Elephas maximus indicus: one gene and its partner. The protein of the gene in region 1 interacts with the protein of each later gene in a pairwise test. Links are inferred from orthologs where the notes say so. Each region holds a gene or a part of one and is shown on either strand. Other genes may lie near its edges.

The links.
Region 2: the proteins of ATXN3 (region 1) and RAD23B interact in a two-hybrid assay, tested with the Homo sapiens proteins (2 studies listed by BioGRID and IntAct). The link is inferred for Elephas maximus indicus from reciprocal best matches to the Homo sapiens genes ATXN3 and RAD23B.

The regions. Positions count from the first base shown.
Region 1 is NC_064828.1:105,675,640-105,683,617, reverse strand, and holds the start of ATXN3 (ataxin-3), read left to right. Parts: upstream 1-4,965; 5' UTR 4,966-5,018; coding exon 5,019-5,042; intron 5,043-7,978. Other genes in the region: NDUFB1 (NADH dehydrogenase [ubiquinone] 1 beta subcomplex subunit 1), read left to right, coding at 794-830. UniProt on the Homo sapiens protein: Deubiquitinating enzyme involved in protein homeostasis maintenance, transcription, cytoskeleton regulation, myogenesis and degradation of misfolded chaperone substrates.
Region 2 is NC_064827.1:56,779,842-56,787,098, forward strand, and holds the start of RAD23B (UV excision repair protein RAD23 homolog B), read left to right. Parts: upstream 1-4,245; 5' UTR 4,246-4,660; coding exon 4,661-4,726; intron 4,727-7,257. UniProt on the Homo sapiens protein: Multiubiquitin chain receptor involved in modulation of proteasomal degradation. Binds to polyubiquitin chains.

The sequences.
Region 1 (7,978 bases):
ATGTTGTTGGGTGCTGTCAAGTTGATTTTTGACTCATAGTGACCCAGTGTGACAGAGCAGAACTGTCCCCGTGGGGTTTTCTACACTATAATCTTTACAGGAGCAGATTGTAGTATTGATAGTGGCGTTAGGAGCCGCAGGGGTACAACAGTTAAGAGCTCAGCTGCTAATCAAAAGGTTGGCAGTTCAAACCCATCTCGCATTTATGCAGGAGAAAGACCTGGCGATCTGCTTCCATAAAGATTACAGCCAAGTGCTATGTTCTCCACAAGAGTGCTTTAAAGAGACATGGTGGTTGAGTGATCGAATAGCAGTTGTCAGCTGCCTGGCCTCCTTATGTCTCTGAAGACATCTCCTCTGGCAGCAGAGAGTTAGAGTAAGCTAGACAGGATATCTGCCAGTAGGTGTGCACACTGGGCAGGAGGATGCTCAAGGAGCAAAAGACTTGAGCGTTGGCCACAGTTGATACGTAGAGGTGGGTCACACATCAAGGATTTCAAGAAAGGGAAAACAAGCTGGAAAGGGTGCAGAAAACATTAAATGGAATCATTGAAAAGATAATAGCTTTCATATAAAGCTAGACTAAGAAATTATAGTTTTTTAATTGGGAAAAATGCAGTTGAAGGTAGAGTAAAATCGTGAGGGAATAGGATGAATATGTTGAATCTCATGTAAAGCTTTAAAAATGGGGCAACTTAATAGAATATAACATTGAATTCACACTCCTTTAACTTCCCCTTTTATCTCTTTATAAAAGTTTTATTTATTCTTTTCCTTCTTTTTTTCCACGCAGGGAATTGAAACCCAATGAAGAAGTTACCTGGAAGTAAAAGCTGTGGCTGAATTACAAAATGTAAATGATATTTTAAATATTATGAGAAAAATAAAAACATGTTTATTATTTGAAGAATTTGGAGTGTGATTCTTTTTATGCTAAAATAATTTTCAAATTTTAAAATCCATTCATTAAAAACACAATTACTGGGTACCTAAATTTTCTTTTTTTTTAATTGTATACGTTGGTGTTAAGTTTACAGTTAGCATTTAATTTTCTCTTTCTCATTTTAAACCATGGTACTGTTAAATCAAATGGTCAATTCCCCCCACCCCACCCCACCCCACAGGTACTTATAGTCCCAGTGACTGGTGTATAGAAACACTATTTGTTGAATGAAAGGAAAACTGGTGTGATTTGCATTTTTGGAAAGATCACTGATAGAACTATGACTCAGGTGTATAGAGACTGGAGTCAGAAGGCCAATTTAGAGATCCTTAGACTAGACTACACAAGGCACTCAGAGGGCTTGAACTGAGCAACAGCAGTGAAAACAAATGGGAGAGACGGGTGAGAACACAGTATTCGAGGACTGATTGAAATAAGGGGTGATGTGGAACAGTTGCAGGGAGGGGGTAAAGAATCAAGAATGATTCCCAGATAGTTGCCTTCATTAATTTATTCAACAGACATCAAACACTAGAGACACAAAGTCAATTAAGACAGGCCTGCCATCAAGATATTTATAGGATATTGACAGATGTATGATTAAACCAAACTTTATGATACTGTATGAAAGGTACTATGTATGATAGATGCATGTACAGAAATTCAGAGGAGGGGCCAACCCACTGCTGTCAAGTTGATTCCGACTTGGAGGTCTAAATTATTCAGAAGTCAAGAAAGTCATCCTGGAAAGTGTGATCATTGAATTTTGAAGGATGGTATGATTTTTCTTTCAAAGTGGAATAGAGTTTAGGACATGCTGAATTTGAAGTGGAGGCATTAATTGAAATAGGGAAAACAATGGATCTAATCCCCAAATTATACGTGGCTTAAGTGCCAAAGCCAAAACTAGAACTTGCATTCTGACTCCCAGGTGTTGACCTTTTTCACTTTATGACATTTATTATTAATCACACATCAATGAAATGATTAGCATTAATTCATATTTAGTGCCTTTTGGCTAAACACTGTTTTAGGTGCTGAGGATTCAACAGTAAGGTCCTCTAGGGGTTTACATCCTCATAAGCAATTAATAGGGGCCCTGGCAGTGCAGTGGTTAAGCACTTGGCTGCTAATTGGAAGGTCAACCTTTCAAACCCACCAGCCACTCCTCAGAAGGATTGGCAGTCTGCTTCCCCAAAGATTACAGCCTTGAAAACCAAATGGGGCAGTTCTGTGTCCTACAGGGTCACTATGAGTTGAATCGACTCTATGGCAATGGTTTTGGTGTTTTGGTTTTAAGCAATTAATCGCATCAATTTTTTTTGAAATAAATAATATAGTTCAAAGATCAAGAATAAAATTGCATACAATGAAAAGCCTCCCACTCTGTCCCCCTTTTGCCTAGTTCTCTTCCCATCTCAACCTCTGGCTTGTGTAATGTGTAATGTATAACCAGTAACTGGTTGCCATCGAGTCAATTCCAACTCATGGTGAGGTGACTCCATGTGTTTCAAAGTAGAACTGTGCTCCATGGGGTTTTCAGCGGCTGGTTTTTCAGAAGCAGATTGCCAAGACTTTCTTTTGGAATTTTTCTAGGTGAACACAAACCTCCAGCCTTTCGGTTAGCAGCCAAGCACGTTAATCATGTACGTACGTGAAAAAATAAATATTTCCTCACATGGATGCACACTTTTTTTAAAACAGAAAAAGTGGCTTGTGAGTTTTTTTTTTTTTTAATGAGAACTGTGATTTGTTTCCCCATTAGGCCACAGTTTAAGAGCAGGGACTGTTTTTCCCAAACAGTACGCTGAACTGTGTGCCCAGAGGTGTTCAATAAATGGTAACTGGATCTTCCTCTTGAACACATGCAGTCTCCATTTCCTTACCTCCTGTTGTCCCCTCTACCCCCTGAACCTGCATCACGAAAGTTACCAATGGTCTGCATAGCAACAAAACCTAGTGGGCTGTTGTAAACTCATGTTAGCTGACTTCTTGGCACTGCTGTCTTCTACAGCCAGAGTGTTCTCTGTAAAATGCAAATCTGAGCATGCCTCTTCTTTGAAAAGCTGTAGCTCCCCAGCTGCCCTTAAAAAGTACACATTCCTTAACTTGGCTTCAAGTTGCAAGATCTGCTATTTGACCCCTTCCGCTTTATCCATCCTCCCCATCTCCTCCACCACATACACATACTTTATGGGACTTTTCAGTTCTTCCAATCAAGGCTTCCTCTTTAGCACCAGAGCACCAACACCAGAACAAGCTGCCTGAATTCGAACCCTCTCATGGCAACTTGCTAGTGACCTTGGACTTGTGCTGTTCTTAACATCTCTGTGCCTCCATCTCCGTCCTTATGTGTAAAATAGCCCAGTCGCCCAGCGTGTAAAATAGAGATGATAGTAATAGCTAAATCCAGGGGTGGATTATCCAAAAGGCAAAGTAAGCATGATGCTTACCTTGCTTACTAGATCATCTGAAAAGAGCTATTTTTTTTCCACCACATCAAAGATTCTACTTCTGCATATGGCTGGCATCTGTCCCTCCCTCCACCCCAGAGCACCTTCCTACAGAATTGAAGCCTCTTTTCAGATTTGTAATCCCTGACGGGGATGGATTACCCAGTAAACAAAGTAAGCATGGGCTTACTTGTGTTTACTTATACTTGTGCTTGCTTACAAATCTATAGTGAGCAATTTCACAAGGATTTCACACAAAGACATGGTGATATGGAGACAAAGATGTGGTGAAACCCATGTGAAATTGTTCACTACAGATTAGTAAGTAAACACAAGTAATCCCGTGCTAACCTTCCTTATTGGGTAATTGGCCCCTGCCTACATCAGAGGTTGCTATGTTAAGAGTCACCGATACATGCAAGGAGCCCTGATGGTACAGTGGTTAAGGACTCGGCTGCTAACCAAAAGGTTGGAGTTCAAATCCACCAATGGCTCCTTGGAAACCCTGTGGGGCAGTTCTACTCTGTCCTACTGTGTTCTACAGTCAATTCCTATGAGTTGGAATTGACTCCACAGCAATAAGTTTGGTTTTTAATGTATGCAAAGCCTAGCCCATAGTAAAAAATTAAACCAGATTCCGACACACAGAAACCCTACAGGACAGAGCAGAACTGCTCCGTTGGGTTGCCAAGGAGCTGCTAGTGGATTTGAACTGCCGACCTTTTGGTTAGCAGCTGAGCTCTTAACCACTGTACCAGCATAGTAAAAACCCGTTGCCGTTGAGCTGATTCCAACTCATGGCAACCCCGAAGGACAGATTAGAACTGCCCATAGAGTTTCCAAGAAGAGCCTGGTGGATTCCAAGGGCAGACCTTTTGGTTAATAGCCCTAGCACTTAATCTAGCCCATAAAAAAAAAACCTGTTGCCATCGGAGCGATTCCGACTCATAGAGACCCTATATGACAGAGCAGAACTGCCCCACAGAGTTTCCAAGGAGCGCCTGGTGGATTTGAACTGCCGACCTTTTGGTTAGCAGCAGTAGCACTTAACCACTAAGCCACCAGGGTTTCCTAACCCATAAAAAAAAAAATGTATATATATATATATAAAAATATCATTTTCACATCATTGCAAGGTATTGGGGGATACAATGATGCCTTTTTCTCAATGAGGCTTGCAGTGGGAGGGGGGAAAAGATAATAAATAATTATCGTAGGTGTGATAAGTAGAAAGTTCAAAGCAAAGTGTAAAGAAAAAAGAACATAGAATCCGAGTGGTCCTTATCTAGACCTGGAAAAGCCTAAGAATCCATAGTAATGGGTGAGAAGAAGAGAAGAGCCTCCAGACCGCAGGGGGCGCTGCGGCAACCCTCAGCCGGCTTGGTATCAGGAACTGGGAGGACACGCTACAAAGGTCACGTGCCCTTGCGATTACCGCCCTGGCGTTCACTGGCTCTTCGCTCCACGTGACTCGCATCCTCGAGGGTGATTGGTCTTCGTAAGGCACGAGGGCAGGGGCGGGACGAGGTGGGGCGGGGCGGGGTAGGCAGAGGGTGGGGCGGAGGGGCGGAGCCGGAGGGGGGTGGTTCGATGCGGGGGCCGTTGGCTCCAGACAAATAAACATGGAGTCCATCTTCCACGAGAAAGTGAGTGTCCGCGTTCGGTGGGGACCTGTCTGCGGCGCGGTGGCGGGCGAGGGGTGCGGTGTCGCCGCCTTGCGAGGGCTGGGTGGGGCTCTGAGTCGCCCCCATCCCGGCCTCTCCGGGTGCGGGCCGCTCGAGCCGCCCGTCTTCTCGGCACTGGGAGGGGAGCTTTACAAACGCCGAGGAGCCGGACCGGGACGCCCGGGGATTCGGGAGGGAGTGAGGGCAAGGCCAGGGGGCGCCTCGGGACACGGAAGGAGGCGGCGGCGGCACCGAGTGGGTCAGCGTCTACCTTTCTCCGGCACTTTGTGTAGCCTTTTCGGGGAAACTCTTCTCCATTCCCTTCTCCCCTGTGCTCCCTGGTTGTAGCCCGAGTCACCTCTCGGAAACTTCCCCCAGCCCTTCCCAACTCCCCCGCTTTTCCCCACGCCCACCCCTGGCAGAATTCACTTCCTTCTCTGGGCGCCTCAGTTCTATATTGGAATCTCCCATACAATTAGATCTTTGGGGTTATGTGCCTGGCTTCCTCCCGCGCTAGGTTCCTGAGCCTCTCCAGGTCAGGAACCTTAGCTCGCCCATTCGTAGGGCCTGACACTTAGGGAAGTAGAGGCGGAAATCCCATGCAGGGAAGTAAGTCGTCACAAGAGTTTTTGTTATGGGATATCTGCGGTTAGTTTCGTTTGCTATTTCCATCTTCCTACATCAGGAGGCCAGCTTTGTTATTAGGTATTAGGGGTGGACTGGAATAATTTTGTTGGTGTGGTCCGCCTAGCCTGTTCTTGCTTTGATTTTTCAATGGCCACGTAATTGAATGATGCTGCTTGTGTTATGTGGAGAAGCTGGTCTTGTCTCGCATACAATTATCAAGGCATTGGGTGTGAGTGAAACCTTCCTTGGGACAACTTTGGCAGATGGCATCTTGTTTCATAATAGTTTCATGTTTGGAAAGGGTGGCTGTGAGGCTGTTATTTATTTAGTAGGCGCGAAGGGTTATCGTATTAAATACTTGTGAATGATCCATGGTGGAAGACATTTTTAAATACACACACACGAGACAGTGAAAAACAAAAGAGGCAAGGTGACTTATAGTATAAATTTAAACAAATTGTTAAAGGGAATGCTTTTTATAGAATACATTTCAGAAAGTTTTGGAGCTCAAGTTGGTTGATTTTTATGTGTGCGGAGAGGAAGGACTCAGTGGTATGGTTATAGCTAATCTTTTGATTTGATTGACGTATTTTATGAATCTTGGACTAGAGAGATTTAGCTGCTTGGCTCAGGAGATTGGGTAAAGATTAGAGAAACTTGCATGTATATATTTTTGTTAATTTTCAAAGCTTTGGTGTAGCACCAGGTGTTTTCAACATGGAAGACTTTAAACATTTTCATATACCATTTCATGCAGTGTATTTTTAACAGTACTGATTGTTACCTACTTTGGATATATATCAGTGAAGGTAACTGCTGGACCATGGGACTAAAGGAACCTGGGCCCCAGCCTATTGAAAACTACTTACCTGAAAGAAGTCACTCTCAACGTGTTTAGGCGTAAAGATTAGGATGCCATCCCCTGCACAGATACTTCAGGCATCTGTTTCCTCTTATTGTCATCTGTTTATAATATGTACTTAGCAAATAAAGGCTCTTAAAGTTCTTCAGGCATGTTTCAAGAATATGGAAAGCACATGTAACCATACGGCTCATCTTTAATCACATATTCTCCCATCTCTCAGAGCACCCCCCCCCCCCCGCCACATATCTTTAATTGTGCTTAGACCTTGTGCTGGGGACATCAGTGGTTTAGTGGTAAGATAGTCTTGTCTTCTGTGCCGGAGATCTGAGTTCAGCTCCTGACTGCAGCACCACACATGCAGCCACTACCTGTCTGCCAGTGGTGGTTTGTGAATAAGCCAGTGAAAACTCTGTGGATCACAATGGTCTGATCCGCAACCAATCACAGGATGGCAGAGGGCTGGGCAGCGTTTTATTCCATTGTGCATGGGGTCACCATGAGTTGGGGGTGCCTTGACAGCCATTAACAACAATAGGCCCTGGGCTTGGAGAGCCAGAGAGCCATCTCTGCCACGATGAAGCTGTGTTGGTAGGGATACCAGCCTGCAGAGGACCTCTCAGCCACTTCCACTTGGAGTGTTGCTTTCCCTGTTTTCAGAGTTTGGGTACCCTTTATTTGAGTACCCTTTATTAAGCTAAACTGTAAGCAGTTGTTCACGTATATATCCTGAGTGCCTAGAATGCAGGAAAAAGATGTGGCAGTCTGCTATTGTACAGATTTACAGACTTGAAAGCTCTATGGGGCAGTTCTGCTCTATTCAACCTTGTAGGGTTGCCATGAGTCGGCATCAACTCAACGGCAGTAGGTGGGTGGGTAGTGCCTAGAATAGTGCCTTGACTCATAGTAGGTGCTCAATAAATGTTTGAATCAGGAGAGTTCCTTGAGCATCTAAGATGTGTATGATGCTTTTTACCTGAAGTAAACTTTTTCCATAAGGGGCCAGATAGTAAATAATTTAGACTTCACGGGCTACATATGGTCTCTGTCACATATTCCTCTTCGGTTTTTTTTTTTTTTTTTTTTTCCCCCAACCATTTAAAAATTTAAAAGCCATTCTTAGCTACTGGGGCAAGTTGAATTTGGTTGCAGGCTGTAATTTGCTGAACCCATAACAAAAGCCCTAAGGGAGCCCTGGCGGAGCAGTGCTCTGTGGCGGTTGGAACCCACCAGCCGCTCTGCAGGTGAAAAGACCTGGTGATCTGCTCCAGTAGAGATTACAGCCTAGGGAAACCCTGTGGTGCAGTTGTATTCTGTCATACAGGGTGCTGAGTCAGAATGGACTTGAGGGCACACAATGTCAATCTAAACATTAATACTAAATGGCAATTAATTGCTGTTTTGTTTTTTTTTTAGTTCCATGGACTGC
Region 2 (7,257 bases), on another chromosome or scaffold:
GCTCTAGGAGAGAGGCCCAGGGCCTATCCTGCAGGGCCTTGCTCACCAGCACCCTCACCTCAGTGGCTTTTAGGTGGGGGTTGGGGAGCCCTAACATGTGAATTGTGGGACTCTGGGATCTGGGTTTAGGCAACTACATCCCACAAGGAGACAAAGTCTGTCCAATTTGTGCCACTGGGCCAAGAGTGGGTGTGGCTGGTATGCAGTTTTGCTAGAAATTCACAAATCAAAAAAACAACAACAAAAAAACCTTTCTATCTTAAGACTGTATTTTAAAGAAAATTTTACTGAGTGAATTTTTTAATTCATTGACATTTAAAATCTACTCTTGTCACAACTATTGGAGGCCATGTATTATTGTATACCCTTAGAAAATTTCTAAAAACACTCAAAACAATGGTTATTTCTGAGGGGAGGATGGGGGAGACCTTTATTTTCAATTGACCCCTTTCTATACTGTTTAATTACTATTTTTCCAGGAGCAAAAGACTGCTTTTTTCAAAAACACATTCAAATATATGGAGAAGCATCTTCTCTTCACCCTACCCCCCCCCCACTTTTTTCTGTAGACAGGCAACAGTAGTTTTAGCGCGGAAGGATTTAATATTATAATAACATTATACAGCATATTCCAGTTTTAAAATGTTTTCATCTATTTTCTTACACCTATTATAAATTATAAAGTGACCACTCTTTTTTTCTACCACCAAATATTCAACACCCACATTCTGCTAAACTCTGAAAAGAGCATGATGAACAAGACTGACACAACACCTAGCCTCATGGAGATTAGTTGGGAGTCCGTCAGTACATGCTTACAGAGCACCTGCTGTGTTCTAGAGCCTATTCTATGTGCTGGGGATACAGCCGTGAATAAGACAGTGAGTTCCTTTCCCTAGGAAGCAGACACAAAGGGAAGGAGAGCAGTGATTATGAGGCAGACAATAGACAAATTTGAAAAAATAGTAATTTCAGGAAGAGTCATGAAAAATTCAAACCAGGGTAATGTTGTACCTACCTCATAGAGTTTTGTGGGGGACTAAATGAGATTATCCAATTGAAGTAGCTAGAACAGGGTCTTGCATAAAGTAAGGGCTTATACATGTTACCAAAAAAACCAAATCCATTGCTGTCAAGTTGATTCCGACTCATAGCGACCCTATAGGACAGGGCAAGACTGATGCATACGGTTTCCAAAGCTATAAATCTTTATGGAAGCAGACTGTCATTGTCACATCTTTCACCCATGGAGCAGCTGGTCAGTTAGCAGCCAAGCACTTAACCACTGTGCCATCAGGACTCCCTTATATATGTTAATCATATATTACTACAGTCTTGGAGAAATCTCCTCTAAAGAAGTAAAATTTGATTTGGAACCTGAATGATGAAAAGGAGTTAGCCATTCAGAGGTTTACCAAGACAGTGTTTCAAACTTAAGGAACCTCAAGTGCAAAAGCCCTAAGGCTACAACTAGTTTACCCCGTTTGAGGGATGCGAGAAGGGCAGTGCAGAGGATGTCAGTGATTGATGGGGAGACGGAAGGAAAAAGATGAAGCCAGCTAATTTGGCAGTCAGATGATGTGTAGTCTCCAAGGCTAGTTAAAGAATTTTAGCATTTTATTCTCAAGTGTAAATAGGTACTAAGTATAGATGTAACATGATCAGATTTATGGTTCAACAAGACCACTCTGGCTGCTGGGGAAGCTGCTGGGAGAAAAGAGTAGACGTGAACAGACCAGTTGGGAGGCAAGTGAAGGAAAATAGTGGCATAGCCTAGGATTGTAGAAGTAGAAATGGTGGAAAATGGCTGAATTTGAAATTTCATTTGGAGAATAAAATTGACAGAACTTGATAATGGATTGGATGTGGTGACTGTGGGGTAGGAAGGGAAGAAAGAGACTTATCAGGGATGACAACTAGAGTTCTGGCCTGGGCACCTGGGTAGATGGTAGAGTCATGCAATTAACTAAGATAGGGAAAACTTGAGAGAGAAGCAGGTTAGGGATGGGGGCTGCAGAAGGAAATCAGTGGTTCTGTTTGGCCACGTTAAGTTTCAGAGGCTTGTTATATTTCAAGTGAAGACATTGAGCAGACAATTGGCTAACTCTATCCGTAGCTAAGGGGAGAGGTTCAGGCTGGAGGTATTTCAAAACAATAAGACAGAATGAAATCACCTGTTGACCAAGAGTAGCTGTCATGAGGCTAGAGAGCAGAGAATTAGATATTTTAATTACAATGCAGTGAGATAAGTGCTGTGAAAGGGGAAATACCAGGTTAAAAATGAGGGAGGTTGGAATTCATGTAAGAATTATATGCCAGCTTCTAGAATCCATGGAAAACCAAGGGGTGACATTGTATCAGTGAGGATGCTGGTCCAGAGAGGTAATTTGCAACTGGTCACAAAGGGGTTCGACTGCTTTATACTTGAGCCACTCACTGTAAGTTAAATGCCACAAAAAACAAAAACGCCTGCTGCTGTCAAGTCAATTCCAACTCATAGTGACCCGGTAGAACAGAGCAGAACTGCCCCATAGAGTTTTCAAGGAGCACCTGGTGAATCTGAACTGCCAGCCCTTTGGTTAGCAGCCATAGCACTTAACCACTACGCCACCAGGGTTTCCTAAATGCAACAAGGAACCCTAAAACAAGGCAGAATAGCCGGGCACCTAAAACCACCGGCTCTGGAGTCATTCTGCTTGAGTTTAAATTATGGGATCTGCCACTTACTAGTTGGGTGACTTGCACTTTACGTAACATCTCTGTCCTTCAGTTTCCTCACTGGTAATTAGGTATACCAATAATACCTATCCAGGGATGGAGTACTTATTATATTATGTTCCTGGCATTAAGATTTTACATATGCTGTATTACTCACCACTCCCTCTAATAATCAATGAGTTGAATACTCTTATTACCCCCATCTTCCTGATGAGGAACCTGAGTCACACTCACCCACACCACAGATAGTTACTGTGTCCTGCCTGCTATGTGCCAAGTATGTTTCTCAGATGCCAGGAATACATCGGTGAACAAAACAAAATCTCTGCCTTGGTGCAGTTTCAGTCTGGGGTTTAAAGGGGCAAAGTGAGAAAGATCATAAACATAATACCATATACACTGTATGTAGTTTAAAAAACAAACCCGTTGCTGACAAGTCAATTCCGGCTCAGTGACCCTAGAGGACAGAGCAGACCTGCCCCACAGGGGTTTCCAAGGAGCGGCTGGTGGGTTCGAACCGCAGACCTTTTGGTTAACAGCCGAGCTCTTTACCACTGGGTCACCAAGGCTCGTATAGCGCCTGGTGGATTTGAACTGCCAACCTTTTGGTTAGCAGCCATAGCACTTAAACACTACGCCACCAGGGTTTTCATATGTATAGGTGATAAATATTCCTGAAAGAAAAAAAAATAGAGCAGGATAACGGAGCTAGAGAGGTTGCGATTTTAAATAACGTAGCCGGGACACACCTCACTGAGGTGACATTCGAGCAAAGATGTGAAGGAGAAGAGAGAGCGAGGCATCCAGATATCTGGGGGAAGAGCCATCAGGGTGTGGGAAAAGAGAGTGCAAAGAAAGGCCCTTCGGCGGGAGCTCAGCATCCATCAACAACAAGCGGAAGAGACAGGAGATGCGATGCAAACTAAGGGTCTAGTAGCCACTTGTAAGAACCTTGAGTTTACGTTGGGTGACACGGGGAATCACCGGAGATTTCTGCGCAAAGGAGTGACGTAACTTAACCTCCGTTAGGTCCTTCTAGTTCGGCCCAAGTTCAGAAGGTTAGTAAGAAGAGAAGACAAAATGTGAGCCCGGGCAGTCTAGCATCGTACGTAGCCTGTGCTCTCAGGATTAAAGAATCAGTCAACATCACATAGCCTCAGGCGCGTAGCAGGGGCCCATCTCGGTGGTTACCTGGACCCTTTCACTTAAACTCCGCCCCGATCTACTGCCCTCTAGTTCTCCAGCTCCGGAGCTCAGCACCCACTTGGTCCGCTCTCCACGTAGCGATTCCCCGGCTACTAATTGCGCAACTCCGGCGGTCGGGGGGGCTCCGGGCGTAGGCGGGGCGGCGGCGGGCTGGGAGAACACCCGGGCTGCAGACACCACAGGGAAGCCCTGAGAGCCCAAGCGACGTCCTCGGTGTGCGCCTGCGTACGCCGGATCCCGGCCGCCGACATTCCAGAGCAGCAATACGCCCCGCCCCCAATTCTGGGGCGGAGTTCTTTACCACGCATGCGCATAGTCTCGCCGCACCCTACGCCTGCGCGCTTCGCCAGCCCGTCCCCATCCCCAGCTTTTCGGGTGGGGGAGGGGGGTGCGTCTCGGCGAGTCACGATGATGGCGGCGACCGTCGTGTGGTGAGCTAGCGGATTCCCTGCTTGTCGCTCAGAGCCCCTCGCACCTCTTGCAGACTCAGTGGCTGACGCCGGACGCGGCCGGAGCTCGCGTGGAAGGCCGCGGTCGCGGAGGCAGCGGCTCGGCCTGGGGCCAGGGCTGGGGGAGAGGCCGCTCCGCAGGGCGAATGTGACAAGCCCCCACCCCCACCGCTTTCCTCTTGAGTGTGCGAGGAACGCCGGCGACCCCAGGGCCCGGCCAGGCCACAGACCCCGCCCAGCGGCCAGCACCCGGAGCAGGCCCGGCAGTGGAGCTGCGCGGTGGCACCATGCAGGTCACCCTGAAGACCCTCCAGCAGCAAACCTTTAAGATCGACATCGACCCCGAGGAGACGGTACGAGCGGCGGGGAACACAGGGCCTGGGGTCGGGTGGAGCGGGGGCGGCCGCGCGCGGGCCTCGGGGAGCGTGAGGGGCCCGCCGGGCCTCGGTGGGGGCGGCACGGCGGCCGCTGCGCGCGGAACCGGGTCTCAGCCCCGAGAGGAGCCCTGCGACGCGCCCGGGCGGGGAGAGCCTTCAGCTCACCCACGAGGGCGCCGTGAGTGCGGGCGCGAGGTGCGGCCTGTGGGCTGCGGGCGCGATAGGGCCCAGGGTTCCGGCCTCGGACGCGTGCGTCGTGCCGGACCCTTCGGAGTTGGCCACCGGCTTTGTGGAGGGAGGATGGGAAGCAGTGGCTGGACGCCGAGGGCCTGGTGGCAGATGGCGGGAGCACGCCCGCGGGGCGCCGGAGGCCTCGGCCTGGGAGCTCGTGGTAGTGGGGCCGGAGGGGGAGGGGAGGTCGCGGCGGCCCCTGGAGCGAGCCGGGCTTTCTGGCGTAGGTTTACAGGTGGGGGAGGGAGATGAGGCGTCTGGACCTGAGTAGACCTGGTTAGGTTCTAAGGTCTAGGAGGTGGTAACCCGAGATAGCGAGCCTTAAAAAAAAAAAAGTATCAGGTTTCGCCTGCCGCAGTTTTCGGAGGTGAGTAGTGGTGAAAACGAATTCTTTGCTTCTTTTCCCTCCAGAGTTATTAAACCTTTTATTTGCATGTATCACGAATCCAGCCACCCAACACACATGCACATGCAGATTGCACGTTAAGGTCTCTTTGGTGGTGAAGATTAGAGCTCTTTAGATTCTGGCTCGGTCCCAACTCGAGATTTCATGGGTCCTCTGTTAGAAGTCTTGGAATTGGAGGAGTTGTATTGGAACCCTGTTCACGCCACCTCACCGCCCCCCCCCATAGTAGCATTTCAAGGGAGATATCCATATTTAAAAAATCTTTTAAATCTGTTCTGCAGTTAAACATTTCAAAAATCCGCATGATAAATTCTCAAGCCATTTTCTGTATTTGCGATTGCAAAAAGAGCAACTAAGTTGAAGTCAGTACAGTTTTATGCCAAAAAGCTAAAAGTGTCACGTGTGTAAATTTACTGCTTAGGTTCTGGAGTTGTTACGCTATACACAGTTAAGCAGTTTTCTGCCCATCTATATATTTTTTAAAAAATTGATTATATTTTTGTTGGAGATCAGGAGTCGTGGTGTTTATTAGATAGACTTGAATTCCGTCTGTGGGTCTGTAACTCTCTTAGTTTGGCCTGCTGTACAATGGGGAAAATTACTTGCCTTTTAGAGAGATGTGAGGACAAAATTGCATTTAACTGGTGGTCAGTAAATGGAATTATTACCCAGTGGATACCTCTTAGATACAGTGTTATGTTTTACCCTCTAATTTTATGAAGTTTTCTATGTCTTTAATTGTTTAAGAGACAGATTTCCCAACTTCTTTTGGAATTGTGACACAAGATGATTTGATTGCAAGACATTTCATTATATGTGGAAGTGTGGGTGCGATATATTCTTAATATAGGTGTGGGAAATATCAGTTAATGTGTGAGAAACTGAAGTGTTCTCAGGAGTATTTGACTGGATTAGTATTATAAATAGAAACAAAATTTTCCCAAACATTTCCTTACTGTTTAGTGTGTATTAATAAGTTGAAGGATGAAAGTTATGTTTTCAGACGCAGCTTTAGTTACTACTTCAAACTATTGTGTAGCTATACATAAAATGTCTATATGTTTTGGTTCTTTGTACTAATATATGTTGGTGCCAAAGTATCTTTACCGGAATTAATTCCACAATTACTGAAACCTAAAGAAGGTTTCTTTTTTCTTTTTGTGGTAACTAATGAGCCCTGGTGGCGCAGTGGTTAAAGCGATTGACTGCTAACTGAAAGGTCTGCAGTTCAAAACCGCCAGTCACTCAAAGGGAGAAAGATGTGGCAGTCTGCTTCTGTGAAGATTTACAGCCTCGGAAACCCTATGGGGTCGCTATAAGTCGGAATTGACTCTGCGGTGGGGTTGGTTGTTTTTTGTTGTTGTTTTGGTTATGTGTGGGTTTATTGAAGTTAAGCAGTGACTTTCCACAGCTCCAATGAAATATTTATGCTCTATGAGAGTTGTAAAGCTCTTTAGGTACTTACGCTATTATCTTAGAGCCAATATTATAATTGTATAGGTTCTTAATTATATTTGCTCTTTTCCAGTTTATTTCTAAGCGTATGTATATGAACTTGAAAGTATACTTTTAGGAGTTTATTTTCATAAAGCTCATTGTTACAGAGAGTGGCATCTTCAGCATTTTGTCTTAATTTGGCTGAATACTGTTAGTCTCGGGCCAGAAATTAAAACATTTAATCCATGATATATGGAACATTTACATACATTAAAATGACTTGTTGGTTTTCAGTTTATTGGCTTTGACTTTAAGAAATGTTTTTCAGAGCAGAGCTATTTTAATTTCATCTTACTGATGAAATTCTTTTTAATAACCATTTATTTTTGATGCAGAGCTTTGGAGTCAAATTCCAGTAAGGAAAAGGAACAGT